4 linked regions of the Coturnix japonica genome follow. The protein of the gene in region 3 binds, or shares a complex with, the protein of the main gene of each other region. Links are inferred from orthologs where the notes say so. Each region holds a gene or a part of one and is shown on either strand. Other genes may lie near its edges.

Region 1 (7,697 bases), on a different chromosome or scaffold from region 3:
AGCCGGCACAAAGTTTCCTGGTCAGCTGCGAGCGCTTCCTGTTGTTCCAGCAGAGCCGCGTTGCAGGAGGAGCCGTGCTTTGTTCCCCCCCCAACCTCCTGCCCTCCACGAAGCAAAGCCATCCGTGTCCAGCTGAACGTGTTCCTGAAGGAGGGTTTTAAGGCTTGATGCTGTGTGTGAGCGGGGAAGGAAGGAGGCTGCGGATGGGTAGGAAGGGAATGGTGACGGCCATGCCGGCAGCACCTCATGTGTGGGTGAAGCTGGGTAGTTTTCCATGTCTGCCTCCATACCTGAGCTGGTGGGACTGTGCTGTCACCGAGTCACAGAACAGCGGGATCTTTATTTCTGAAGGACCAGTATTATAAGGTCGGGGAAGGGAGGGGGAAAGGAGGCTTATAAATAAAGCCATTTGAGAGCAGGAAAAACGAACACCACGGCTCTGGTGTGCCTGGAATTTGCGGTTGAGTAATCCTTTCCTGTTTCTTTTTTGGGTTGTTTTTCATCTTTCAGAACAGCGCCTGAAGCAGGTCCACCATGCCGTTAGTAACGAGGAACATTGAGCCAAGGCACCTGTGCCGTCAGACGTTGCCTAGCGTTCGAAGCGAGCTGGAATGCATGACCAACATCACCCTGGCAAATGTCATTCGACAGCTGGGCAGCCTGAGTGAGTACCATGGCGAGCCTGCGCGTTGCCCTCAGGAGTCGCTAGTGCTCTTTATTTAGCTCCCTTTCTACTCTTGTGTTCCTATTTCTCCCCCATCTGCCTTCCCCGGGTAATGCTAAAATGTTTTCCTAAAGAAATGCGATGCTAATTTCATATCCCTGGTCCCACCGCCTTCCCCAGCTAGAAGAAACTGGGGAGGGGGTGTGCGCATGTGTGTGCGTGCGTGTGTGCGAGGCTGCAGCAAAGCTGCAGATGGAAGGATGGAGCACAACTCAGCCTTGTAAAATGGGAGGCTCTCGGAGCAGCCAGGATCTTGTGTCAGAGAATGTGCCTCTAATTGCGTGCGCTACTAAATGGAGCTTGACTGTGCCGAAGCTATGGTGTGTAAGTAGTCTTCTTTTTAATGAAGGATAATTAAAGCGCCCGTGCAGAAGCAGCCTGTTGGCCCCTGCTGTGTGCTACCTTGGAAGACCCAAAGTCCCCAAGCATTGCCTTTGGAGCACAGGGGGCTCAGGGCTGCTCGCACAGACGGCAGCACCGAGCTCAGCTCTCCGGTGAGCTGCCCCATAGCCTGGGAAAGGCTATAGGGAAAACATGGGCCTGCATGGCATGGGAGGAGAGAAGAGTTAATGGTGGTCTCTGTGGGATGGCTCCGTCCTCTCTTGAAATGCTCTGGCTTCTGATTAGCCGCCTCTGCCCTTGAAGCGAGACTATGAGAATCCAACTCATATTGTTGAGCTTATTGGTGGTGTCTGCGAGCACTTGTGCTTGCTCTGCAATGTAAGGCCCTTGCCTCGTGTGGCAGGAAAGCCTCAGCTACAGCCTCTTTCCAGCAGTGAAAGCCATGGCTGCAACTGAAATCGGGGCCTGTGATGGCTGCCAGTCGGTGTCACGTTCTGTTTTGGGCTGTGGAAATGTCACTGCACGGGCAGGACCCGTCCATCCGCTCACATCCCACTGACCCCTGTTGGTCGTTTGGTGGCTCTGGTAGCCAAGATGGTTGTGGAATGCGAGGAGAATCCATCTCGTGCATGTGAAATGAGGAGGAAGGAGGCAGTAAAGCTGTGCAGATCTCAGCTGCAGAGAAAGCTAATCCCAGTCCAAAGGCATGCAGCGGGTTAGTGTGACAGAGCCCTGGTGAGATCCTGCAGATTTAGGCCGTCTTTGCAAAGCTCAGATATTCAAAGCTTCTCCATGGCTGCCTCAGCTGGACACAGTGAAGCACTGGGAGCCACATTGCAGCCAGGCTCCTTTGCTAGGAAGGTGCCCTGTGATATCTGCGTGGTGCAGGGAGGGAGCTGCATGCAGCCAGGTACCTGGAGGAGAGCAGGGCATGTGGGGGGATAATGAGCACCATCCCTTATCCGCATCCCTGTGGTCAGCGGTGCTTTAAATGAAGCTATTTAGACTCGGTGCTGCACAGCACTCGCAGCCAGCTGACCAAAGTCCTGCCCCCCTCCTTTACCTCTCTTACTTTGGAGGAAGAAATCCACTCCTCCTTCGTACGCTGAGCGTTGAGGGAATGCGAAGCAGGTTCAGTAGGCTGTGACAGCTCTGTCAAGTGAATAATCAGCCATGCCTGCTGCACCACAGTCTCTTTACAAAGATGCAAACATAAATCTTGTCAAACTTTCATATTCCAGTGAGTTTACCCTTCGTTACTATCACAGCTGGTAGCGCTCTGTATAAGCCGGCTGTGCAGTGCTATGGAATGCACGAGCTAAAGATGGAGAGACCTATTGAATCACACCGCCTGTCTTCCTGCCAGTGCGTGACAGAGATCATTCTGATTGTGAGTTGCACTTTTGCAACAGTCAAAGTAATGAGACCAAAAATGAATCTCTGCCTTTCCCCATCTAAAACTGCACGTGGAGCACTGAAGCGTATGCCAGATCCTGAATGGTAACTCAGGACTGATGCACTTAGACAGGTGAGGGAACACCAACCATCCCTGCTGCTTACGGGGCTAAGGACACCACGTGCAGTGCTCTTTGTGCTTGAAACATGCAGCTCAGCACCACAAACTTGGTATCTTCCCTTCTACTTGTTGCAGTTCCTGGTGAGATTTGGAACTGATTCTCGGTTCTCATTAACACAGAACCAAATTACAGCTCTGTGGGCTGTTGCTGGGAGGGGCAACAAATGATCACGTAGGTAAGTGTTCACTTCCTTTGGTCAAACAGGAGAGCTGGTGCTGATGGTGAGCACAGAGTGCTTGGTGAAACGTGGCTGCAGTGAGTGCAATCCAGCCCTTGGGTCTCCATGGCTGCAGTCCTCCCCATGAGGTTGGGGAGAGCTGGCTGGGCTTGTTAGCAGAGCATACGTGGAGTCAGTGCTGTCCAGGTGAGCCGAGGGAGGTCAGCTGCAGTTCACATCCAGCTTTTACCTTCTGCAGGCACTTGGAGCTGGCACTGCCACCAGAAAGGGTGGGGGAGGTTGATTTTTAACCTGCCTCGTTCTCCGTGCTTGGCAGTGTAAGGAGAACTGCGTGGCATTGTGAACGAGTCACTGATAACAGGGGGGGAATGAGCAACCTCTGCTATGGGTGTCAGCTCAGCCCTGCTGGAAGGCTTTGCACAGGCACTACCAGCTGCCATTGCTGTGCCTCGTGGAGGGGATCTTTCCCCTGTGACGTGCTGCAGACAGCCACATTTTCCAGCATTGCTGTTAAAGTCGGCCTTCCCACTGCTTATCCTTCCCTGAATGTCGGAGAGGATCTCTGGGACTAACAGATTCCAGAACAAACTGCTGACCGTGTGATGATGCACTTACAGAACCAGACGGCTCGTTGGGAGCAGCCTCGTGCTCAGCAGCCGTGCCTGGAAATGTTTCCCATCAATGGGAACTCGGTGGGTCTGGCTGCTGTCAGTGCCAAGTCTGTTCCCACCCCATCAGTGCTGTCCTCTGCGTGGTTATTTGGGGTTCCCACCCTCAGGTTATGCTGGAGAGCAGAGCACTAAGGACGTTGCTCCTTTTAGCTTCTTATTCTGTCAGTTCACCCATCTCTGTTCACCCGTGGTCATGTCTCCTTGCATATGTAGATTTTAAACTCTTCAGGACGGGGGGCTTCTTTTTGTTAGACTTGTAAGTGGTGCAGCAGGCTCCTGGTCCAAGCCCCGAGGCGCTCTCACCATCCAAACGATGGATGATGTTTGTCATCGCAGCTCACTGGGCAAGCCAAGCTGTTACAGAGAGAATATTCCTGTTGGAGAAGTTCCCTTTTGGTTTTGATTTAGAATAAACGTGAATGCATCAATTTTTCAGACACTGCCACCTGAAGGAACAAAAGGGTCAGTGCTTTTGTCTGCGGTTATAGCTCAGGCTTTAGGATCAAGGACTGGGTCTGCTCTCTGGTTCCAGAGCTCTTTGAGCTTGTAAATATGTGCCAGTTCCCCTGGAGGCGGGTCTGCTGGAGACCAGGAGCCTTTGAGCTTCTCCAGAGCAATAAAAGTCTGTGTTGTCTTGTCTAATAAACAGCAGCAGTGAATCTTAAAGGACCTGCAGACCCATCCGGATTCAGACCACTGTTACGTTGTCAGCCCTCTTTTTCATTACTCTAATACGGGCTTGAAAGCACGTCTCAATTGTTTCTTTGTGGCCCAGAGATCCCTCAGAAATGTCAGGTGTTGGTGGAAGGGAATGTTGTCTTTTTGGGTGTTGCACCCAACCCTGGTGTGGCTCATTCTTCTTTCTTTCTTTCTTTCTTTGAGAAGACAAAGTGGGAGTCGGCGTGTGGTTTGATGTGGCTGATGATGGTAACACGGTCACTTTAATACTGCAGGTAAATTTGCTGAGGACATATTTGGAGAGCTGTTCACTCAAGCCAACACTTTTGCCTCCCGGATGAGCGTTCTTGTCGAGAGAGTTGACCGCCTGCAAGTCAAAGTCACTCAGCTGGATCCCAAAGAGGAGGAAGGTAATGGAGTGCAGCACGGTCCCTGCAGACAAAGCGTGGTAAAGGTTCTCTTGGAGCCCGGCTGGTCCATGGCCCTACAATGAGCATGGTGCTATGGTTGGTGTTAATGTCTTCTCTTGGACTAAGAGGGACTGTTCTGTCCCTCCCAATGAAGCCCGGTGCTGCCATGTGAGCATCCATCTGGCTGGGGAGAGATTTCCTTGTTAGCAGTTCTCCATGTGGAAGCTCGTCCTTCAGCAGTTGGGTGCCCATAGACTTCCCAAGTCTTGGTTGCAGGGGTTTGAAACCACGCTGGCAGCTATTGAGCCGTGTCTGTACAGCAGCAGGTTTTGTCACAGCACTGTGTGAGATTTGCTGGGCTTCCCGAGAGATCTGTGGGAACAGGAACCTGAGCTTAAGGAGTGCTGAGCACGCCAAGAACTCCAGCTGAAATCAGATGTTTGCTGCTCGATCCTCAGTGCCGTTGGCCTGGGTCAAGCTGCTCTTCACTCGCTCTTTTCTCTTTCTTACAGTCTCCCTGCAAGGCATTAACACCAGGAAGGCCTTCAAAAGTTCTACAACTCAGGACCAGAAGCTCTTCGACAGAGATTCTTTGCCAGTGCCTGTCCTTGAAACCTATGGGACCTGCAATACTCCTCCACCTCTCAACATTCTTTCCCCTTACAGGTAACACCACAACACCTCCGTAGGCACTTGTTCCCTTACAGAGGAAGCTGCTTCCTCCCGTCCAGCCGAGGTCATTTCCCATCCCCTGCTGTACTGAAGTAGCCATCTTCAATAGGAAATAGAGTTGGAGATCCCCCAGGAAATCTCACGTGAAACTTTGCTTTTGAGGCTGTACAAATGAGCATAGCTAGAAAATTATACGTTTGGTTACCTGCTGTCACTTTTGTGACCGCCTTGGGGCAAGGCTTGCCTTGCACTGCATAAACACGCAAGGTATTGTGCAGGTGATGCATTTTTCTTATGCTTCACTGTAGCCCCGTGGCTTCTTTCCAGAAGGCTGCAGTGCAAATTGCAGAGCATCCATCTGTGTGTGGCTCTCACCCCAGTGGGCGCAGCAGGCTCCTGTAGGTCTGGGGATGCTTCCCATGGCCTCCCACGCCTGCACTGAGACATCCAATGTGACCTAGGTGGGCTGTGTGAGCCCTTCTCTCCTGCTGTGTCGTTCCATCTTGTCCATAGTAGAAGCAAAGGGGGTCAGAATGCAGAGACTTAGCCCACATCCATAAATATCTTCTGAACAGGTAAAAAGTAATTACAGATAGCTGGAGGCAGCTGTCTTCTGCCAGACGCAGCTGCACTGCAAAGTAGGAGAGTGAGTGTGTGTGCACACACGAGTTTCAAGGACGCTGCCGGTCTGATTTAGGGTTCCCAAGCTGGAGAAGATTTTTTCACACCAAAAATACAAGACAAACAAGTGGGAGTTGGAGTGAGAGACCTGCTGCTCTCCTGCTGGTTGCTCAGAGCAGCCGAGCTCTGAAATCCAGAGCGTGTGTGAGGGTGGAAGCGATGGCAAGGGGGAGTGCTGGGACAGGCGGCTGCTGCTGTGGGTCTGCTGCCTATTTTTGAATGGAGGACAGAGGTGAGAGCAGAGCGTTTGACCTTCTCAGTGCAGCCCTTTAATCTGTTGACTGGGCTGGTGGCTTTTATTTTTCTTTGGGCTGCAAACAGTTGCATGACTTGGCCTCTTGTTTGTGTGTGTTTCCTCCCCCCTGTTCTAGGGACGATGGCAAGGAGGCGCTTAAATTCTACACGGATCCTTCCTATTTCTTTGACCTCTGGAAGGAGAAAATGCTCCAGGACACCAAGGATATTATGAAAGAGAAGAGGAAGCACAGGGTGAGGGAATGGGAGATCTCTGGCAACAGCAGCATGTCGGGGTGGGAAAGGAGGTGGAAAGCGTTAATGAGCTCCAAAGTTACTCTCCGAAATTGAGGTTTCCTCTCTTAAGCTCTTTGGGGATCAATTCGGAGAAGTTTTGATCTGCTTTACTTTCATCGCTGTTAATTAAAAAGAAGACAACAAGGATACCCTTAATCTGGTTTTCCAAATGCCATCTTCTTTGTGTTGTTAGGAGGGTTTAATTTGATGTCTTCCAACACAGCGCTGATGCAGCCGGCAGAGCAGGGCTGTGCCAGTCTTTGTGCTTGTGGTGGTGCATGGGGGTCTGCTCAGTGTTGAAGCAGTGCAGGTCCCACTGCCCCAGCTCTGTGCTTTGCCAAGTGCTGCAATGAATTCTATTGTGGAAGAGGAAACATTCAGGGGTGCCAGAAGAGTTAAATGAGCAGCCATTGGGAGGCTTAGCAAAGCCATGCAAGCTGAAAGCACCAGGTGAAGCTCCTGGTTTGGTTACTGGGGGATTTGAACCAGGTGACACCACAAAAGCTTCAGTTTGAGCGTACCTTATTTAGCGTTTGGGCAACCAAAGTCCTGAATATCAAAAGAGTAACAAAGGAGGGAGCCTGGACGTGTCAGAACATAGAAACCAAGGCTCACGGCAGGTTCACCCAAAGCATTAACACCAGCAAAGCAGTGGTAGGGTTTGGCAGCCTTGACGCACGGGCCAGAAGCAGAATTGATGTGGGGAAATGGAGCTCTCGCTGCCCTCAAGGTGGTGGTGCCAGGCTGGAGCCCTGCCGTCGTGCTGGGGAAGCTGGGTGGTGTCTTTTGCTCTGCTCCATCTTCTTTGTCTGGGAGGACGTTGGAGCTTTCAGCAGTCAGGAAAATGAATGACAAACCCTGGCCCTCTTGTCTTATCCAATCCCTTCCTGTTCCCGGTGAGTTTAAAGCAAAAAAAGGCTTTTGTTTGATTCCTCCTCCCTTTCCTCCCCTAGAAAGAGAAAAAGGAGAATCCGAACCGAGGAAACGTGAACCCCCGGAAAATCAAAACCAGGAAAGAAGAGTGGGAGAAACTGAAAATGGGGCAAGAATTCGTTGAGATCAAGGACAAACACGGCCCTGCTGGGTAAGCAAGTGCAGGGCTCGGCTCTGCTCCCCAGCAAGGGGCAGCGGGTGGCGTTGATTGTAATGCAGTTCACCCTGCTCTGCAGCTTCTCCAGATCCGCTGCACAGTGCGGATCGATACTGCCACTAATCAGATTCTCCAAAGTAAAT
Region 2 (6,680 bases), on a different chromosome or scaffold from region 3:
AGCATGCATGGCTGGCAAGTCAGACTCTCTTTTGTTTCCTTTTCCAGAAGCTAATACCATCTTGCGTTGTAGTGTCAATATGCTACTGGAGCTGAAGGGCACACTCGTCAATATTTTATAACATGTGCATGATTACTACTGACCCATTTAAGTTCTGAACTGCAAATTTATTAGAGAAATACAGTGTGAAATATGTGGCATCTGCTTCATCTGAATGTGGAAGTGTATCTTAATTAAAATATTAATTTCATGTTGAATCATCCTGCTTTTTCAGGCTTTTTCAGTAGGGATAATTGATTAGTTTTTATTAGAAGGCTTATGCAGACTGTCAAAATATGTACAGTGCAATCATTGACTCCAATACTGCGGTAGTTTCTGGGGAGCCACACAGGCAATTGAAGATGTGCAGTGTTACAATCTAATGCCACTACAAAGGAGTTCCTGAGGTATTTCTCCTCTCGCCCGCCTTTCATTCTCCATTGCTTTGTGTTCTGTAGCCAGATTTCCCTACTGAGCTGCTTGCAGCATAGCTCTGTGGATAGATTTGTGAGAGATGCTCCCTGGCTGTGATCTGTTTTCCACTGCTATCTCTGCTTTTACCATTATTGCTCGATTCATTTCAGGAGAGTGTTCCTATCCCGAATGCTAGTGCAGGGTTAAAGTCTTGCTCCTGCTCTAGGTTTATCTTTGCTGTGGGAGAATGTTGTTGTTTTGTAGACAACAGAAAGAATGCAATGCAGGTAGGGCATAAAATAACACATTTTTGGGGTGTTTGGGAATCATGGTGGAGTCTGTTAGAATCTCAGGGACTGTTACTGTGCAGTGGTGCTCCAGGATATGCTGAGGGGCCCTCCGCACTGATCAGAGCTGCTATAAAGCTTCCCCTATGAGCTCCTTAGTGCTCATATTGTGAGCATTTCCCCAGGCATAAGAAGCATCTCTGTGGTTCCCATTCAGAAAGAAGGTATTTTGGTGTTATATTAGGTGAATGTTAAGAATTGTGTTTATGTTGATTAGCATGCCAGAAAATTGACATACCTTCTCCAAATGAGAAGTGTAGAGGTAGATGTACTAAAGATGGCTTTACTTGCAGATAAACTTGAGAAAATTGACACCTGCTTCTGAATTGTTCCATGTATTGTCTTCTTGGAGATAACGCAGCACTTGGGAGAGCAGAGGTGAAAGGGAAAGACTATTTGTCCGTGTCACAACAAAAATTAAAGCTGACTTGTGAATGAGATTGCAGCAGAAAGTAGCTTGAAACCTGGTCTAGGAATTATCATGTTTATTTTCTTTCTTTAATAGTCTCTGGGGTTTGAGAGTTCTCTAATGAATGTGGCTTTGAGCTGCTGCTGCTGCCTTGTATCAGAGGTGGGAGTGTATGTGGTAGCTGTGCATGCACTCGGCAGAACTGGATGGCAGGGGACCTTGATATATCTTGTTTTCAGCACAGTCACAGGGAATGGAGTTACAGAGACAATGGTAGGCTTCTGTCTTATGGGAAAAGTAATTTTTCCCTTTTCATAAAGATTGGTGGGTTTCGAAAGCATTCTCTGTGCACACTGTGGACTCCTTTCAGAATTTTTCTAGGGCAGGGGATTAGAAAATGCTCGAGGCCTGTTCTTTTTTCCTGCGCCCTGTGCCCAAGCTGTGGGTGTTTCCTGCAGAGAGGTTTAGCAACGTGCCCAGGGATCAGCGACTGGCTGTCAGCTGCTGCACTCTCACACCCAGTCTGTTAAAGAGGAGTCTGCAGGGCCCCACTTAACAACAGGGATGTGAATAGAAGCTAGAGAAGATGCTTCGGTTTGGAGCTTTGTTAAGTCTGGTCCCTGTACCCTTCCTCACTTAGGGTACTTTTGTATGCCATGTTTTCCCCTAGAAAAATAAATACTGTTCCTGATTTTGCCTGGCTGAGTTGAGAGCCAGGCAATGTCTGGGTTACAATCCCGGAGGTGGGGACGCATTCATGGGGTGACACTTGTCTGATTTTCTGTTCTGTTTTCTCCCCTTGTGTAAATGTGATGTTGAATTGTTTTCCACGTTTCCCATAAAACACACAGTGTCAGCACAGCATTTTGGTCAGGGTGTGTGTTGGTGCTTCCATGCTCACATTTCCTGCCCTCTTTTGTTCTTGTCAAATAAGCATCTTCACTGTTGAATAAATACAGCCTTTATTAAGGTAAGGATTTCTCAGCATCTCAAAGGATTGTTGTTCAGTACTTTTCTTTTCCTGGCTGGAGCTGGATATGAAGGGTAGGAGTGCATTTTGTGAAGGATGTGCTGAAAAGAGCACACGAACCCCGTGTGTTTATAAATAGTGCTGTCATGTGCCTGTGGTGTAATAATGAAGCCTGCCCGTGAGTGCTGCTCAGTAATGCAGGCAAGACAGAGCGCTCAGTTGGACAGAGACTTTGTTAGTCTGTCTGCAAGTGACATCACTGGGTTTCTGTATGGAAGAGGAATTGCTAACACAGTGGCAGCCGCCTCCTGACACAAGGCTGTGGGGCACAGAGCTCAGCTAGCCACACTGCGGGGAGCTGTGATTGAGGTGACAGCAGTGCCTTGGGGGGCTGTGGCCTTCCACCATCACAGCACAGCCTCTCTGGCACAGCTAGAGCTTCAGAGCTGCCCTGAGCTGTGTTACTGACCAAAGGTTAGTCACTGGTTAGTAGTGGCCAGGCAGAAGTGAAGAGCATTAAAGCAAACAAATGTAACTAGCAATAGCTAGAGCTTGACTCCATGCTGTGTACTTTCCTTGCTTTCCAGCTTGTCTTTCTTAAAGATAGCAGTGCTCTAGAGCACATGCCCTGCTCTTTCAGTTATGCCCTCTCAGAGCAGAGGATTTCAGCCTGTGTCTGTGTTTCATATGCAGACTCCCAGATTGCTTGTCATTAAATCCATGTGCCTATGCAGCAGCACTGAGCTCGGTGATGGTTCCTTACAGTAACTCCCACCCAGGTTGTGTGTAGTGGCCCCAGATCCAGGGAATGAGATGGGCAGCCTGGTGTCTCGCATCTGAGATCTCTCTCCTCCCTTTGCTGCTGGTTACTAAGAACTGTTTGGAAGAGTGGTTTGTTCCATAATGCCTTTCTCTTTTCCCTTTCCCAAAGCAACTTGTGCTGGTTGGAGAGTCTCAGGGCAGGGATTTGACATTTTGGATTGCTCCCTTAATGCCTTGAGCACTTTCTCCCAAAGAGCAGCAGCTGCCTGTTGTAGTTTTCCATTTGTTAACGGATCCTGGATGTGTGCATACACACAAGCCAGTCTGCGGGATGCTGATCAGTACAAAGCTTTTCTTCCGCAGTAAGATTGCTTGGCTTTCTCCCACTTGGTTAATTCTGAAGCCCAGTCTCATCCCTTTTTGTGATCTATACCAGATCTTTTTGCCCTCTTAGGGATAGCTCTGAGAGAAGGAATCCAAAGAAGCAGTGTTCACAAACAAATGGAAGTGGTTGTACAGGCTTTGTGCAGAACGAATTGTGCTGCTGGCTGCCCAGCAGCTGCTGCTGCCCGGCTCAGAGGGTGCTGCTCGCAGTGCTCCCATAGCTTCCGCTGCAGCCAGCCCTCAGCATGGCCGGCGAGCAGGGCTGCCCGCTGCTGGTGTTCAGCTTATGCCGTGCAGCATGTGCTTTGACTCTAGTAGCATCTCTACGTAGATCTGACCACTAATAATGAACGTAGCTGCGTGTTGTAGCTGTTAATACAAAGCCTCTGTTTCTAATCAGTGCATGGTATTATAGCGCATGCTGTGTGTTGTCATCCCCTCCCCTTTTATTTACAGTCTACAGCCTCAGGTTTGTTTATATCTGCACGCTGGTTTTCATGTAAAAAAACTTTCCCAACGTTTCCAGTTGCCGATAGCCCGACTCCTCCCCCCCCGCCGCCCCCCGATGAGATGCCAATGTTCGATGACTCCCCCCCACCTCCACCCCCACCCCCTGTGGACTATGAGGACGAGGAGGCTGCTGTTGTGCAGTACAGCGATCCCTACGCGGATGGAGATCCTGCCTGGGCGCCGAAGAACTACATAGAGAAAGGTAGGAAGGGCTGCAACTGTGTACCTGCAGCACCAGGGATTAATGGTATCTGAAGGGGGTGAATGACTAAGTTTGGTCTGATGAAAAGTCATTGTCCCTGCTAGTCAGAACTCGAAGCGTTCTGTTCTTAGTTTGTCAGTGGCTACACCTGATGTGATAAAACATAATCCTTTTAAAGAAGGATTATAAAATATCTTCAAGCATTCTAGAATAAAGGGATAAAAAAAATATAGCAAAACAGTTATGAGAAGCAGATATGAATCCGATGGCTTTTCATCTTTGCTAAGCTGCTGGACTGCATCTGCGGCTACCTCAGGGCTGCTGAGCAGTCATCTAGAAAGAGCGCTGCACAAAGCCCAGAAAGCCCATGCTCTGTCCTGTTTTATCCCCCATCCAGCTGAAAAGCCAGCGAGAGCAGACCATGAAGCTTTTTGCTGTGAAATGTAGTGGGCCTTCCATGGAGACAGTGACAGGACAAGGAGGGATGGTTTTAAACTGAAAGGGGAGATTTAGGTTAGATATTTGGAGGAAATTTTCTTTGAGGATGGGGAGGCCCTGGCAGTGGCTGCCCAGAGAGCAGGGGGTGCCCCATCCCTGGAGGTGTTCAAGGCTGGATAGAACGGGGCCCTGGGCAGTCTGAGCTGCTGGGTGGGAGCCCTACACATTGCAGGGGGTTAGAACTGGATGGGCCTTTAGGTACCTTCCAACCCAAACCGTTCTGTGAGTCTGTGAGACATACCAGTGAGTCTGCATCAGCAGACTGTAAATGTGCTTAGACATAAACTCATACAATAAACATTTCTTCCCGCGAATGACTGATTTCCTGCCCATGGAGCTGTCTCTTTTAGGGCAGTGACCAGTCTGTCAACAGCAACGCTGCAAGTTTTCTCAGGCCCTGGCTGGTACTGTCATGTGCATGCAATGTGTCTGTGGTACCATCTTGGCAGCAGCGGTGGAACTGCTGTGTTCAGTCCTTGCTGCTGGCTGTACTGCATGCAGGGCATGGTATAGTTGCAGGGGCTATTGTGTAAGAAATGTTCCTAGTGGTCTTCTTCTGCAGAGTGATTTTTTTTTTAAGGCTTTCTCTAATCAAGATATGCAGGGATCGATGCCTTTGGGGCAGTCTGAGCAGAAATGAACACCACATTCACTAGGCCCACCTAGTGCATAACCCAGCTTATAGGTGGCCATATGCACTGGTGCACAGCACCCCAGCCAGCCCATGCCAGAAGGCTTAGGAGCATTTAGTGCAGTCACCACCCACTGCTTATGGGCAGCCAGGACTGCAAGAAAGGGGAGAAGTCACTTTCTGGACTTGATGTTGAATGGGAAAACTGTGAATTCAGAACAGAAAATGCCAGGATGGCAAACAAGTCTTTACAAAATATGATGATGCTGAGGGGTGCTATTAACATAGTGCTAACATTTTCCCTGTTCAATCCACAGTTGTTGCTATATATGACTATACAAAGGACAAAGATGACGAGCTGTCGTTTATGGAGGGTGCAATCATTTATGTGATAAAGAAGAACGATGACGGCTGGTATGAAGGAGTTTGCAATCGAGTAACCGGCTTGTTTCCTGGGAATTATGTTGAGTCAATCATGCACTATGCCGATTAAAATTGCTTTTCCAAGTTGGGTCTTGTACTCGGTCATACCATGATTATTTACAAGGGGTAACTAAAAGCTAACAGAATTGTCTTAATATACTTTCCAAAAAATGTGCCCATTTCTTCAGGCCATACTGTTTTAATGGTATGATTGAATGTCCATCTCTCTGAGTCTCTGGGGGCAGTATGTCTTACCTGATGGCAATTTGTAAAACAAGCAACTGTCTATAACTGGTTATACTTATTTACTTACGCATTGTTAATTTTATGACCAGCCTAAATATTCTGGGGAAGTAGGGTATAATATTTAATGAACCATGATTCAGATTGTGCCATTACATTTTTCAGTACAGCATGGTAACTAACACTACGTTAGACTAACATATTAAAATCTGGATGAGAAGTTTAATGTTAGTGCTGGTCATGTTACTTTTTGTTTAGACTCTTTGCTCATTCTTGAACTATATTTGTTTAAAGCATGCATACAAACTTATGTATTGAAATATACTTTTTTAAAAATCCAAGATGCTTCCAATTGTTGTAATCTTTACCTGGAGTATTCTCACTAAAGTCTATTACGATGAGTTGTTCGGGTCTAAGGTGTCCATGTGAATCAAAAAAATGGGTGGTCTTATGTATGTGTAATTTGTACCCAAGTTTTTTTAATAAGTAAATTTACATTATGACTTTTTCCATTCATAAATATATAAGTGAACCAAAGGTCTTGTCCATTACTTTGTTGGTTGGCTTGACAAAGAAGTTTGGAATGCTAACGTAGCAAAATCACGGCTGTGTTATCCCAGGCAATGTACTAAAAAGCAAATGTTTGTAACATGACTTTATCACTGACAGAGGGCAAATAAATTAGATATGAAACCTGAATTACCCATTTATACAAACTCCTAAAAGTTCTTTTCTTCCAGTGTCAGTTTTAGCAAGAGTTGAACGTAGTTATCTAGATAGAATGAGTTGACACTGTCTGTAGCTGACATTTCTCAGTGGAAACTGTGTCTGGACGTGGTAGTGTGCCC
Region 3 (7,697 bases):
GAACACCAGCTGTGTGGATGGCAGTTACCAAGGGAGTCTGTCAGCAACCTTAGCACAAGAGGGCTTTTGTAACAGTGCGCGCCCATTTGCTTACATTCTCCCAATTCACAGAATGCTGCTCTATCTTTGTGAAATCATGCCGAAGGGCTTGGAAAAAATGTCCTTTCCTGTGTTTCTTCTCACAGTCTGAGGGGCAGCAGGAAGTCTTCCTTTCGTAGCCCTGTGCATCCGTCCTGCTGAGGGGCATTTCTCAGATTGGTGCTGTTAAATGGACTGCAGTGTAAGTGAGAGAGAGTTTGGGCTTTGCTTATCCTTTGGTTATTAGTTCTAAATTACTTTTCTAGTATCTGTATCTTTGGCTCTTGTTCCACACTGGGAAACAGGGCTGTGTTTGAGGAGGGGTAGAAGGATCACAGTATGGCTGAGGTTGGCAGAGCCCTCAGGGCCTACTTGCTCCAGCCCCAGCTCCAGAATCACAGAATTGTAGGGGTTGGAAGGGACCTCCAGAGATCATTGAGTCCAACCCCCCTGCCAAAGCAGGTTCCCTACACCAGGTTGCACAGGTAGGCGTCCAGGCAGGTCTTGAATATCTCCAGAGAATGAGACCAGCAGGGACACCCAGAGCAGGGTGCCCAGGGCCACATCCAGGCAGCTCTGGGAGATCCCCAAGGAGGAGACCCCACAGCCTCTGGGCAGCCTGTGCTGCTGCTCCATCACCTGAACAGCACAGGAGTGCTCCTGGCTTTCAGAGGGAGTTTTCAGCATATAATAGGCTTCAACTTCCTTGTGGGACTTGTGCCCAGATGTGGAATTCTTTTGGCATTTGTTTATTTATTGAAGGGAAGATGCTATGGCTTTTGCCTGCCTGTCATTTAAGAATAACCATATTGGCTGTGAAGGAGCTGTGCTGACTGCAGGCAGCTCTGTCAGCAAGCACTCCTGTCAGTCCTGTCCTTCATCATTTTTCAACTGGGACTGCAAGTTGTACAACATGTGCACTGCTTATTTATTTGTTTTAATGAAAACTTACCTGCTCAGGCTCGAAGCAGAGCTGGAGCCATCGATGGTTTCAAGAAGCAAATGCCTGCAGACCTGTCTGACAGCAGTTGTTAGAAACTGTTGGTGAGCTCTCTCCATGTGTGGTTTGTTGGTTTTGCAGCTACAGCTCAGCGTGCTGGTTGGTCTCTGAGGGCAGGTGGTTTATCAGTTCTGAGTGTTTCCTTCCCTTTGCTTTGGTTTTTGCTTTTACTCTTTGTTGTCTTTGGTGGTTTCTTCATTTGTTTATTTTTAACTTCAGATTGATGGTACTGTCCTTATGGTTACATCTGAGGGCAGTCCTTTTTTCCTGTGAATTTGATGTCAGTCTTTCCTCTGGTTTTGGTGTGGCAGGGAAGAAGAGAAGCGTTTCTGAAGTCATAAAGTAAGGAGGAGGTTGTTAGTCCTAACATTCATTTTAAACTTGTATACTGAAACCGGCTGGGTTTTGGTTTGATGGTGTACCTCTTCCATTATGGTGTCTAGGAAATGTTTTCATCAAAGGGAAACTACCTGTTTCCCACAGTAGTAATGGTTCCCTGCTCTTTGCGGTATTTGTTTGTTTTCTGTTTAAGTGGTTAGATGTATATATAGGAAAAAAAAACAACTACAGTTACATGTATGTATACATATACATATATATGTATGTATTTTTTTAACCACAGCTGCAAAATGACTGCTCAAGTAACACTGGAGGATGCCTTATCCAATGTGGATCTCTTGGAAGAGTTACCATTGCCAGATCAGCAACCGTGTATTGAACCCCCACCATCATCTCTGCTTTACCAGGTCTGCTGTCATTTTAGACAAAAAATACTGCAGTTCTTTTGCAAGAATATATACTCTTAAAAAGCAAGCAAACAAAATAACAATAACAGAACTGTTCGCATTTATGATACGTAAAAATTATTTTCCTTCCCAATAATTTGATTTGATATTTTGCTTTCTTTGCAGCCAAACTTCAACACTAACTTTGAGGACAGAAATGCATTTGTCACTGGTATTGCAAGATACATTGAGCAAGCTACAGTCCACTCTAGCATGGTAAGAAGGTGTTCAGGTAGATACGTCTCTGCTAGCTGGAATTAAAGGGAAATAAAGGGTCATTTTGCATGTCGTTGTAAGAATTGTGGTCACAGAAAAGAAGTTGCCTGTAACGTTTCCAGGAGGCAGTAACACACACAAGAGTGTGGCATTTCTTTTCTTGCACATAATTGCCGGTAGTTTTAAAAAATTTCCTGTGCTTCTCTGTCAGTGTAGTGACAGTGAGGGTTTATTTTTGGCTTCCTCACTGTATACATTTGTTGTTTATTGACATGCTTTTGTGTCAGGTCTTTTGTGGTATTTAACATAACAGTTACACAATAGAAGATGAGACTTGTTAGTCATAACTCTCTCTCTGCTGGTGATATTGTTGTTTTGGGATACAAAGGAACTTGCAGGTTGTAAACACTGTTCCATTCTGAACTTTTAGTTGTTTTGTGCTGGTTTAAAAAACATGCAGTAAGATGTATCATTCAGCTTGCAATACACATTTGCACATATACTTTCTGATAAGAAAAAGTTTACTTTGGAACAATGGCAGAGAAATGAATTTAACTCCTATGTTTTACACTGCTATATTGTTACCGAGTTTCTCTCTTGCAGAATGAAATGTTAGAAGAGGGCCAGGAATATGCTGTCATGTTGTATACATGGAGGAGCTGCTCAAGAGCCATTCCCCAGGTAAAGGGTCCGAAATAAACCATCATGTATCATGTGCACTTCTGTCTTGGTTACAGATTTAGTAATGAGTTCTGAAATTAAGTTTGCTTTGATCCCTGAATTAGCAAGCTGTGCATGCCATAGAACAGTGTCTTAACACATGGGAACTAGTTGGACTTCTTTTTTTTTTCTTCCCCAAACATTTAAATTCAGAGCAGGTTTAACAGGTGATGCAGCATGTGATAATTAGCATTTGGGTTAAACATCCTAGGTTTTCAAATGGTTATTTTCTCCTTGTCAGAGCTATGCAGTGTTTTCTTGATCCGTGTGCAGAAATAAAAGCCTGTGAATGCATGTCTGGGAATGGTGATACGGGGATGGGATGGGAAGAATATTAAGATGCATCAGGAAAATTAAAGTTGTGAATTGGCAACAGCTTGCAAATATTTTTATGCACAAAGAACAGAGATAACAGAGAAAAAAAAATAAATCTCAATTTCTGTTTTTAAACTCGATGAAAAATGGCGAAGATTCACTAATGCCAGCTATCGATGCCTTAAATTTGTATAGTTAAGATGAGAATATGTTTTCTAGTTTGTCATTTGGGATCTGAGTTTCTGAGGGAATTTTTTTTTTTATCTGGGAAAGCTGTAAGTGTGATTGATGGTCTTTCTAATTGTCTTCAGGTTAAGTGCAACGAGCAGCCTAACAGAGTGGAAATTTATGAGAAGACAGTAGAAGTTCTGGAGCCAGAAGTCACAAAACTTATGAAGTTCATGTATTTCCAGGTAAAAGGAATAGAAATTAAACATTTGTTAGCAATATTATATGCTTATTCTGTATGCTTGATATTACATGCTCAGATATTCAACTTAATCGTTATAATTTGGTGGAAAAAAAGATCTCTCAGAAGGGCAGCATTTCTAAAACTTCAGGAGTTTCACAGAATAAGAGAATTGCAGGGGTTGGAAGGGACCTCTAGTGATCATTGAATCCTACTCCCTGCTAAAGCAGTTCCCTACAGCAGGTCTCAGTGGGAAGCATCCAGGTGGTTCTCGAGTATCTCCAGAGAAGGAGACTCCACAACCTCTCTGGGCCACCACTCTCACAGTAAATAAATTCTTCCTTGTGTTTGTATGGAATTTCCTGTGTTCCAGCTTCTGCCCATTGCTCCTTGTTCTATTGCTGCGCACCACCACCTAAAAAAGAGATTCCTCCATTAAGACTTTGAGGATAAAATAGAAGGTAATTGCACATGGTCCCTGACACCATGGAAGGAACAGAAGTGCAACACATTTTGTGTATGTGTAAGGCAATCTCAGATGGCCCTGGTGCACACTTGGAAATAAGCCCTCAAATAACCACGTGCAAAGATGGCTGTGCTGACATTAATCACTATTCTGCTATAAAATCACTTGTTTCAAAGGGATTTTAAATTTTTCTGACTTCAGATTGCAGATAATATTTCCAATTGTGCCAGGCAGGTTCTGCCTGTCATAAGGAAATCCTTTGTGACATTTGTAGTACACAGAGGTGAAGCTGGAAAGGCCGTGCTCATGTGTTGTTGGCCTCACAGGCCTTAAATGTTTTTGTTGCTTTGGTGGTGCTTTTCATCACCTCTTATAGGTGCACCAAAGTGGACTGTTGTTAAGAGGGGAGGACAGACAGGTGTGAGACCTCTGGTTGTGGGATGAATCTTGGAAACATTGTGGCTTTTACTCTCTGACTCTTTTTTGTTTCGTTAGAGAAATGCAATTGAACGGTTTTGTGGGGAGGTGAGACGCTTGTGCCATGCAGAGAGGAGAAAAGACTTTGTCTCTGAAGCGTATCTGATCACACTGGGCAAATTTATCAACATGTTTGCAGTACTAGATGAGCTGAAGAATATGAAGTGCAGTGTGAAGAACGACCATTCAGCCTACAAGAGGTGAGCTCTTAAGGACAGGATCAGGATTTATGCTGTGGGGAGACAGAGCTCCCACAAGATGGCAGCAGTAGCTCCCTTTTGGGCAGCTTTTTCTGCAATTACTGCAGCTAAACCATTGACTAAATTGACTTTCTTTATGCTGCTCTTCCAGCAACTAAAGATTGTTCTGTCTTTTGAGGCAAAACTGGCAAGTACTTCTATCATGGCGTTCACTAAATGTATTGGATATGCACTGCTCAATACTGCTTTTCAAGTTTCAGAGAAAGCTGACTTTTTGTTCTACTCCAGTTTTTGGCATCCAGTTTTGATGCTTGTAACTTAAAGTTGTTCTTACGATATTTCAGTGTTGCTCTTAAGAATTGTCAATAAAAGGGTAGGTTTGGCTAACATGTTTTTGTGAAGCTTTGGCAAGAAAGCACTAGCCTTATGTGTAAAAATCTTTTTCTGCCTGATTCAGGAGATGGGAGATATGCAAAGGTCAGTAACCTTGTACATGCAACAAATGGTGTTGCCATTGTACTGATTGTACTGATAGTTACAGGTTCTATTGACTACCCGATAGATGCAGAGATGAGTGTGTTGAGAGGGGATGAGTTTGCTTACAAGCATTGCCACTGAAGGGAAATATGGTTGTTTTATTTTCTATTTGCAAAGAGCTGCTCAGTTCCTACGGAAAATGGCAGATCCTCAATCCATTCAAGAGTCCCAGAATCTCTCCATGTTCCTTGCTAATCACAACAAGATAACACAGGTAAGCTTCAATTGCCTTTTTCCAAAATACTGAATGCTGTATAAAACCTTTAAAAGAAAACCCTTTCAGTTTGGTAGTAGCTGCTGATCCTAAGGGACTGTAACTTCTTGACTAATGTCCTTTCTCCTTTTTTTTTTTTTCCAGTCGTTACAGCAGCAGTTGGAGGTGATTGTTGGCTATGAAGAACTGCTTGCAGATATTGTGAATTTGTGTGTGGACTACTATGAAAACAAAATGTATCTAACCCCCAGCGAGAAACATATGCTTTTGAAAGTAAGTTTCTTTTCAGTACAAACTTAAAGAAAGGTTGAAGCAGAACAAAGATGTTTGCATTCTTCTTGGATTTTTGTTTCCTTTTGCCAGAACCACATGAACTTTTAACACTGAATCTGTTAAGGAAACTTCTAATCCATTTTTGTTCTTCATAAATTGAGGTTAGTCTAACTGAACTGCAGCCTTGTTGGGAAACTAATTCTATAGAGTGGTGTTTCTATGAAGTATAACAACAACAGAAGGGAACTAGGGAACCTTAGTTCTAGATAGGTGGCAAATAAAAAGGCTTCTGGAGGTGATGCTGCGTATCAAAGCTTTGAGGAAACAAGTAACTTAAAAATTAGGGTAAGTAATCAGAAAAATTTAGCTCATATAAGTACATTTAATAGAAGAGTGCCAGGCAATGTGTATCAGTTGGTTGATAAGCGAAAGAAGTAGAAGAAGAAAGAAGTATGGAGTAAATACTGAGTGTTTGTCTTATGTTTTCAGCGTGTTTTTACCCCTGAGGTTCTTTTGCAGAGAGCTTTGTTTCTTTTTCTTTTGCCAGGTTATGGGCTTTGGATTGTACCTGATGGATGGAAGTGTCAGTAACATCTACAAGCTGGATGCAAAAAAAAGGATAAATTTAGCCAAGATTGACAAATTCTTTAAGGTTGGTTAAGATAAGCATTTCCTAATATGTAATGTAGAAGGCAGTTCCCCCTGCATTTTAAATTGACGGCCAGATTAATATAATCAAATACAACAAAGATCACTTTGGACTATCACTGGGTGAATAGCATTTTCCTTTCACTAAGATGCATATTTAATCATTTATCTAATCTAATCTATTCCCTTTGTGCAGCAGCTGCAGGTGGTTCCTTTATTCGGTGATATGCAGATTGAACTTGCAAGATACATCAAGACAAGTGCCCATTATGAGGAAAACAAGTCGAGGTAGGTAGGACAAGGATACAGAGAGGGGAGTATATGGGCTGGGGAAGTTCAGACCCATAAGGTATAATTTCATAATCACCTGATAATAATCTATGGTAATTACTTTAAATAGGATTTTCACCTTGGTCCATTTTTTGGTGTGGGTATTTCACTATTAATGTACTTTGCATAGTAGATACAATGGAAAGGACAGGTTATTTAACCATCTTTCTGTGCTGCTGAGCTATTCTTGCATCGGTGGCATTGCTTTTCACCTGGGTTGGAGGATGTAAAATTTACCTTACACTAATGTAATTTTTATCTTTTCCTTTAAATATGAAACTTTCTGTAAAAGAAATGAAGGATTATACTAAGCAAGGTGAGCAGTAGTGCATGTGTATATTGTACATGGAGCAGAAACTTAGCTTGTGTCCCTCTTCTTTTTGTTTTGGTAGGGGTACAATGCAGCAAAATGGCTAGAAAATGCAGCTGTTTTATATAAATTGTTCCACGGTTTATGGTTATTGCTTCATTTTAGTAAATGTTCCTGTGCACCTCTGAGACCTTCCCTCCATGCAGTTATGTGAATTTAGAATGTAGTGCTTCGCATTTTAATTCCTGCAGAAAAAAATATGTAACTTGCATGTAATTGCTAAGAGAAAATCAACAGTAGCGAGCCTACTGAGCTACTAAAAGTATGAGGCTGTTTAACACAACATTTGGTAGCATGTATTTTGTGTCTCTCTTGATAACATGTTAATAGTATTTAATAATATTTTTATATTTGGAGCATACTGTAAGCTCTCCTTAGTTAAACATGAATGAAGAAGAACAAGCTGAAAGTGGCTAAACATCTTATGGCCTATACTTGTCCCTCTGCCCTGGCTTTCAGTCCTTTTTGGTCCTGTCCCTAAGTGTGTGCTTTTGAAGAGAGATGGCAGTTTGTATTTCACAGCAGCAGCAAAGTGAAAGAGGAGATGAAAGGTCTCGCATGGATGAGAAGGAAGATTTAAGGAAAAAAAAGAAGTCACACATTTTTGTTCTTTCTTTTTTAGTATCAGCTGCAGTCTTTATTGCATCAACTGATTAAAG
Region 4 (7,697 bases), on a different chromosome or scaffold from region 3:
CAGAAAGGAAGCTGTATGTTAGAAGCACTTCATAGAGGTTAGGGATTAATTTAGAGCTCCAAATCAGATGTCCACTCCAGACAAAAGGCAGGATTTCATGTATAATTTCTCCTTGGCATTTTCTGTTAACTAACTTGAATGCTCAATAACTTGTCAGCCTTGTGTACAATTTTCTATTTCATGCCTATAGAATATGGCACTTAACTTATGGTGTCATAAAAATTAATTACAGGAGCGCTGTGCAGCTGGCTAGTAGCGTTCATTCTGAATGCTGACAAACATCACAGTTCTGCATAGAACTCAGCTATGGCTAATTTCATGTGACAGTGACAACTGGAAAAATCTCTTTCATAAAACTAAGACTTAATGATTCGTACAAACACCTAAAAGCTAGAATGAAGACAAACATAACTACAGATCAAAGCGTGATGGATTTAAAATGCTCAAGGAATTACTTGCATTTTCAGTATCAGTAACTGTGATTTTCAGAGTGCACTTTTGGGACTTCCTAAAAATTAAGACTTTTAGGACATCTCCAGCTGTGCTCCTACATGTCTGAAATGAAATGTTTGGACACAGTCTTGCTTAGTCGGGAAACCATCGATCAACATCCACAATGGAAGAAAAATTGTTAGCAAGCATACCTTAAACAGCGAGTAGTCACAACCAGGCATTAAATTACTAGAGAGCTGGATATGGTTGTATAAACTATTGGAGGGAAAAACAGCAGGATTAAAAACTAAACATTATTTTAAGGTACAAAATGCTAAAAGAATTTAGGACATGTCTGAATAAAATACAAAATTTAAACAGCATTAAAGTAATTCAGAAGCAACCCTGTTACCTAGGTTTTTTCCCCCAGCAGTACAAAAGCATTAGCTTTAATGAGTTCTAGCTCAAAGAAGCAGAATGGAAGCTGGTTTCATCAACACTTGCTGGGCTCCTATACCACAGTATTTCCCAGAAATACCTTTCCTTCTTCTAAACTTAGTTCTAACAAGTTAAAAATAATAAACATAACTTACTGAACTTTCATGCAAAAAAGGAAGTTTTGTGCATGTGTACTCGTCCTCTATATATGCATAACAATTTAATAGAATAACAATTTAAACACCTATGGTTATTCTCTCTGCAGAGAGATTTTTAAAAGTATTCAATTAGATTTTATTCACTTCTGTACTCTGTAGTTGAAGACTGTAAGCCCGATAATTCAAACTGAAATAAGAACTCATATGGCAAGAACAGATGACTGGAAGAACAATACAAAATACAGCCAGAATTAAATTCACGACTATGCAATTGAGAGCTAAGAAGTTGAGGCAGTTCATACAGCCTCCTAGCAAGAAGGCAGGTGCTTTTCTTTCCTGCACTGCTAAGGTGACACTTCAGAAGATGGTCTGCATCAAACACTAAACTGTAGTTCAAGACTAACTAACACTTAGGCATGGTCCAGTACTAAAAAGAAAACTAACTACTTCAACTTATTTTATAGCTTGACTGGAGACATCTGAACACTTTTCCACTACAGCCTTGATTACACAGCTCAAAAACTTACCCATCACTAAGTACACTGATAAGCTTCAAACAACTTATCACATATCCCACCAGGGGGATGCAAAAACTGTTTTCAAGAACTGAGTCCTGCTCCCCTTCCTCCAATGACTGTACTGACAAACATCAGCTTAAAATCTTCAACACGTTTCCTCTCTGATGGTGCTACTTTCACTGATGTGCATTAAAAATATGAAGAACTTCTCCAATTACACATAATTCAAATGTTATATTATTCTGGGTTACATTCTTGCAAACTCTGAAGAATCAAGATCTGGCCATTAATTTTATAGGTATTTCCAAAGAGTTGTGGCTAATGAAAAACTTTACACCTTCTGATTTCAGCATAAATTTAGCTATCACATATCAGCATTGTGCAGACCAAGGCATGTTTACTTACGCCCAAAAATCTTCAACAGTATCAAACTTTGAGATCAGACGGAGATTTGCTTGCCAAGTTTTGCTCTTGTCATTTTTAAAAAACCAGAGCGCCCATCTAAAGGAGAACAGAGTACAGAATAATAGCATCTAGAATTAAAGCACGTTACAAATAAAATTCAGTACTGATTATATACCAAGTAATCGCAAACCTCAAGAGGTTATTAGCACGGAAAGCAGTTTTCATTAGCTGGCAATGTGAAAAATTCATTTCTAAAATCTAGCTCTACAGCATGTATCCTAGAGTTACAACAGTCATGGGAGACTTGATTATCATATCAAGTAATTACATCATATCAAGTTATATTATCATTGAGGTAATTATTTCTAATGTGTTTGGGTCATTTCTAAGACTAAATCTCTAAGCCTCAGATGATTCCCCTTTTTGCCACTGGTAAACTGCAAAGTCCTCCCACCAGTAACAATCATGGTTTGAAGCAGTGCCAACTATCCCAATCTGGAACTCAGCTGCCTATTCCATAATTTCTCTGTAAAAGTCAAAAGCTAATTCTAGTGTATGCATATAGATGAATGTCTCCCTAGCATTCACCCACCGGGAGAACAAATTTCAATAGAAGTCACTTGAATTCATTTTTTATAAAACTACCAGCTTAAGCTTCACTTCGGGTTTTTAGATTCACACAAGTGAATACTTAAATTTTCCACCCTATTTTCTTCAACGTCTCAACTGAGTACAAGTTTCAACACCTACTATTAGAAAAAAAGAAATCATCTTTACACTCAAAGACATTCCTTAGGAATCAGAAGAATATTGTCTAAAATGCTGGAAGGAGATACCTGAGAGGTGTTTAACAGAAGAGGCCTACTTCTCATGTTGATCACTTCAGGAGCATTGAGCTGACTCGAGTTACCACTAGAGTAGATTTATCTTGCCACAGTACTCCTGAAAACACCTGGTGTCCATTTGCTGAGACTTACTGACTATTTCAAACCTTGCTTTAGAAGTTAACTATTTTCTAGAAAAAGTCCCACACCACTTATGGGAAAGTGTCAGCAAAGTAATTACAGGAAAACGGACAGAAGACAGCAGAGAGTGGAGGGAAAAGATGAAACATGACATATAGTTCTCATTCGCTCAGAACAGAAAAGAGTAAGAAGCCTGACACACAGTAATATTCTATTTAGGGCAGCACTTAACAGCAACTCCACAACAACTCCTTAGCTGAGGAGATGAGCACCCAGCTGCTCTATTTGAAGTACATGTATGTGCTGCAGTCTCTTTGCGCATTTAAACAAATTCAACCTGTAAGCAGCTTAAAACTTCTGTAGAAAGTCGGTCCAAGTGCTAGTTTATCAAGAAATTTTATACTTGTGAAGTCCTCGCTGTCTCTGCAGCAAAGTCAGAAAGCAATAGTAGCTTACTAATTTAAGTAGTACCTATTTCTGCACGCTAAACATAGAATTTAATTAGGAGGGCTTGGATTTTTCAATGCTTCTTCTTTATTTCCAACTGCGACTCCGTATTTTTCTCGATAAAAATGAAAATTCAGGTGCCCTACAGCTTTTACTCTTAATGAGACATTAATACAAGCATACGCATTAGCTCTTTACAGTGCTTCTTCTGCTGTGCTTCCTACAGGTGATGACATTATTACTGTAGACACCAGCCATTCCGGATATTTCAAGCCTAATAAGCAGTTTGGCAAAATAAGGCAGCTTCACTACTTTCAGTTCCATTATCATGGCTTCCATACTACTCACCTGTTTTGTAGTGGATGCTTAATATACTGTTCAGGGTTGGCAACCTCCTGAGTAGGCGCTGGCTCGGTTTTCTCCTCTTCTGAAGGTTGAGGGTTGGGAGTGGTTTCCTGTTTGAAGAAAGGATTTATTAATAAGTTCCTTTTCAATTTTCATTGTTGCACTTTAGCTCTTCCAAGTAACTTTAAGACCGCAGAAACTTAGAATTCCTCTAACTCAAATTGGATTGGGAGGGTGGGGTGTCAAATCACATCACAGAAGCACAATTTGTATCCCTTTATCTTTCACCACCTGAACAGGCCCTATAATACCAGTTGCAGGGGCTCCCATTGAGCTGTTCATCAACTTGTTGCCTCTGTCATTTGTCCCCAGCTCTGTTTCCTGGACAAGTTTGTCTTCAACTAAGATGCTGCTGAGTTATTTTGGAAAAAAACAATATTGTACATTATCTAGAATAGGCACCTCTAAATTAATTCCCAGAACAGTAATAGCTTCACAACGAAAACATGATGATTTTTGGATAAAACGAAGTGTCACTGTAAACAAAGTCCATGCTTATTTAGAAAAATGTGCTATTACAAGTCTGATATAGATCCAGAACTTATCAATATAAAATCACTACTGTAGGCAGGGAACAAACTAAAATGGTAAGCAGGTATCTTTATTTGCAACATTACTACTAACAATGTTTCAGGCACCAAGCAACATAATTTAAACAGTTATTAGTTCTCAAACATCAAACTGATATTTAATTTCACACGATTTATCACAGGTTTGCCCAATTCTATGTTCCACCCCCCCCCCCCCCCCCCAAATCTCTACAGAGTGTTATAGATATCAAAAGTTTCAACACAAAAGAGAAAGAACATTCCCTTTGCACATAACATCCCCCCCACCACCACCAAGCTTGTCATTTGAGAAACCACTGTGTCGGGTTTGCAATTCTAATGGCATACCTTCAAAGCTAGAATACAAAGCTTTATTGTGAGGCCAAATGCTCTCTCCAGTTACCACCATCTCTCCCTAACCTGCAATTGATGCTAGAATATTGCAATAAGACAAGAAATGAACAATAGAGTTCATTTCCTCCAGTTATCCCAGAAAAAGCACTTTAAGAATATAAACAAATATGAATTACAGCAGACCCAAAGACCTTAGTCATTCCTAAATGTAGCAAAGCAAAAGCAGTACTTAAATAGAGCTTAACTTTTGTGGTCTTAAAAGAATAAAGTAACATAGGAGTGGATTAGGTAAATCAGTGGATTAAGTCTGTCATCTAATGGAGGGAGCAATTTCCAAGTTACTCAGTTCGTCATGACCAGAGCTGCTGAAAAGTGGAATGGATTTGAAGTGATAACAAGCAGCACTTAACCTTCACCGGACCAGCTGACAAACTCTTCTGGCAACATCTAGAGACCGGGCTTAACACAGACTTTCATTATCAATACATCTAGTGCTACTGCTTAAGAACAGCAGCATAGTTAACTTCAGACAAACTACACCTTCATGCCTGGGGAAAACGATGCTTATTTTAACAGTCTACCCAGCAAAGACATTAGTTCAAAAGCTAAACATAATTTATACCACGTTTAAGAAGGCTTTCATATGTTCCCATGCTCAGAGTGAGATAAGAAGGCCTCATGGGGCAGCGACAATTAGGGTACTGCTTTGATTTACACGTTACAAGGGGTAGGTAGTACAATCTCCCACCTGTTTTAAGGGAATAAATGCTTTCTAAAGAGTCCCTTACGAGGGCCATCACTACTTAACACTGCCTTCTGCGGGCTTGTCAATCTGTTCTATTTCTTCCAGTGAAATACTCTAACAAACAGAAGAGTCCTTCAAGAATTAAGTAGAGGACCAGTGAGAGTTTCAAATCCTTTCTAGAGCAAGATTTACAGTCTTAGACACATCTATTTTTAAATTGATGGGATGGGATTAGATCCTTACCCTTCCCTTTAATCACACACAGGAGTCACAGAGAAGAAATTAAGATGGTCAGTGCACAAAGGCGACCAAATACACCAAAGCAGTATTTCAGCAGCTCCCTTGAGTTACAGCTTGCAGTATAATACATGAAATCAAGGCGTACACAGAACACCCTGTCAAACACTTAATTTGAAGGGTATAAAAAATAATAATAAAAATCAGTATTTGGGAAGTAAACTAAGTGCAAGGGTTCATGCTAATACTTGCTTTCATTCACGTTATTCTACAGTTGTAAATCAATTCTAAATAGTAGATATCAAACGCTAAAGACTTTAACATCCAACAGCGTCTTGTCAAACTTCACATTTGCTCAGCAAAGAGCTTTCAACCAACAAAGAGCTGATTCTGGCATCTCTCAGCTCACTCTTCCAGAAACACAATGATCCCAATTGGAAGGATTAACACAAAACCAAGCACATGCAGGACTACCATATAAATGCAATTTCTCATTTCTAATGGAAGACAACATCAGAAAGGCCTAAGACAGCACCTGCAGACAATGCAAAAACACAATGAGCCTCATTGTACCAACCCTGTACACCAAAGGTCACCCTTGACAGGGTAACCACATGAAAGTCCATTTTGGAACAAATGGAGACATCTGACTCCGCAGAAGTGTTTTTAAGTCACCATAATAATAACTCTCTTAAGATGTTTTGAAAGCTGCATAACTTTAATGAAGCTCAGACTACCCAACCTTTCAAGCTCTTGCCCAAAGCAGCACATGACAACTCACTTCTAAGACTTGGCCATGGTCTCAGCTCAGGACCACACAGTTCTCCTTGAGAACGAGCCCAGCCTGAGGAGGATTTCATCAAGGACAGGTACAGCTGCACACACCACAGTAAACTTGGAAGCAGGTGTAAAGTTGGAAGCAAAGTCTTCTATCACAAAGCTTTTCTACTTAATCTAAAGCAGAAGCTTAAAGCAGCTCATGTGCGCTACCTTTCATTTCCCAGCGTTATCCATCAAAATAAAAAGACTTTCATTTTCAGTTAGTTAACCATACCGGCTCCCTTTTCTTTTCATCTCATTTATCTCACCATTCTACCCAAACAGAAGTGTTTGCATAGCAAACTATTTCCCATTAATCAAACACAAAGCATGCCAGCAAAGTAACCGCCAGAATCCCTTTCTTGTGCCCAACCTCTTCCCAGCTACTGAAATCCTACAACAAACCACAAGCATGCACCCAACACTGCCTTTACATGATTCTATAAATACAGCGTGAATTAAAGTTATGTTTTGTGTGTTTTACCAGTTCACACTTCGAAGTCTTGCAATTGCTGCACTATTAACTTAAAGCCAGATCGTCTCCGCCCACAGTTTCTGGGCTTCTAGACTTATATTCATTTACAGTATTTTACTATTGCTCATAACTAATGCCTTCTTTAACCTAAAATTGACATTGCGTCTACTATTAAACCATCACTGAGTTTGCTGCTTTTAAAACAGATGTAATAAAAGAGGGTAGCATTACCAGCCAGACTGGAAAGCTTCAAATGGCCAATCCTACTCCCCAAACACAATACAGCACATAATTAGGAGTGACATTTGCTACCCACATGCTTCTTGCTGTAGGAATCAGCTTGCAGGAGTTTACGAAATATTCACCTACTCAGCATTTAGTGACTGTGCCTATCTGCACGTTACCTGGATTCTGACACTTGCAGACTTAATTGGTGTTATTCATTCCGTCTCCACAGCACATAACGACAAGTGTATGAAAGGAAGGTGTGCATGTCACTGGGACAGGAAATGGGTGCTTCTCACTGCAAGAACTGCATAGTCAGGTTATTTAAAAGAAGCAACCCGCTTGACTAGGTTCCACCCAGTGTTCGCAGATACCGCCCCGACCACATCCATAATTTAATGATCTACAAAAGTTGTTTAGGAAGTGCAGTTAAAAGAATGACATGTATGTTCCAGAAGGATGCAACCTCACACCCGTGTGCATTCCTGATGAAACTTCAGAGAATTCAGCTTGCAGAAGAAGCTTG

What was found.
Region 1: CYFIP1 (region 3) and WASF2 share a complex: the UniProt entries of both Homo sapiens proteins name them as parts of the WAVE2 complex. The link is inferred for Coturnix japonica from reciprocal best matches to the Homo sapiens genes CYFIP1 and WASF2.
Region 2: CYFIP1 (region 3) and ABI1 share a complex: the UniProt entries of both Homo sapiens proteins name them as parts of the WAVE2 complex. The link is inferred for Coturnix japonica from reciprocal best matches to the Homo sapiens genes CYFIP1 and ABI1.
Region 4: CYFIP1 (region 3) and EIF4E share a complex: the UniProt entries of both Homo sapiens proteins name them as parts of the CYFIP1-EIF4E-FMR1 complex. The link is inferred for Coturnix japonica from reciprocal best matches to the Homo sapiens genes CYFIP1 and EIF4E.

Annotation. Positions count from the first base shown.
Region 1 is NC_029538.1:1,773,714-1,781,410, reverse strand, and holds part of WASF2 (wiskott-Aldrich syndrome protein family member 2), read left to right. Parts: intron 1-239; exon of another isoform or gene 240-366; intron 367-510; 5' UTR 511-534; coding exon 535-664; intron 665-4,445; coding exon 4,446-4,580; intron 4,581-5,092; coding exon 5,093-5,246; intron 5,247-6,304; coding exon 6,305-6,422; intron 6,423-7,417; coding exon 7,418-7,548; intron 7,549-7,697. UniProt on the Homo sapiens protein: Downstream effector molecule involved in the transmission of signals from tyrosine kinase receptors and small GTPases to the actin cytoskeleton. Promotes formation of actin filaments. Part of the WAVE complex that regulates lamellipodia formation.
Region 2 is NC_029517.1:14,558,664-14,565,343, forward strand, and holds the end of ABI1 (abl interactor 1), read left to right. Parts: intron 1-3,851; coding exon 3,852-4,037; intron 4,038-5,483; coding exon 5,484-5,659; 3' UTR 5,660-6,531; downstream 6,532-6,680. UniProt on the Homo sapiens protein: May act in negative regulation of cell growth and transformation by interacting with nonreceptor tyrosine kinases ABL1 and/or ABL2. May play a role in regulation of EGF-induced Erk pathway activation. Involved in cytoskeletal reorganization and EGFR signaling.
Region 3 is NC_029516.1:117,488,030-117,495,726, forward strand, and holds part of CYFIP1 (cytoplasmic FMR1-interacting protein 1), read left to right. Parts: intron 1-1,700; 5' UTR 1,701-1,707; coding exon 1,708-1,824; intron 1,825-1,989; coding exon 1,990-2,079; intron 2,080-2,682; coding exon 2,683-2,760; intron 2,761-3,425; coding exon 3,426-3,527; intron 3,528-4,484; coding exon 4,485-4,666; intron 4,667-5,320; coding exon 5,321-5,417; intron 5,418-5,561; coding exon 5,562-5,690; intron 5,691-6,237; coding exon 6,238-6,342; intron 6,343-6,534; coding exon 6,535-6,626; intron 6,627-7,697. UniProt on the Homo sapiens protein: Component of the CYFIP1-EIF4E-FMR1 complex which binds to the mRNA cap and mediates translational repression. In the CYFIP1-EIF4E-FMR1 complex this subunit is an adapter between EIF4E and FMR1.
Region 4 is NC_029519.1:53,877,207-53,884,903, forward strand, and holds part of EIF4E (eukaryotic translation initiation factor 4E), read right to left. Parts: intron 3,819-7,697; coding exon 3,712-3,818; intron 2,048-3,711; coding exon 1,952-2,047; intron 709-1,951; coding exon 645-708; intron 1-644. UniProt on the Homo sapiens protein: Acts in the cytoplasm to initiate and regulate protein synthesis and is required in the nucleus for export of a subset of mRNAs from the nucleus to the cytoplasm which promotes processes such as RNA capping, processing and splicing.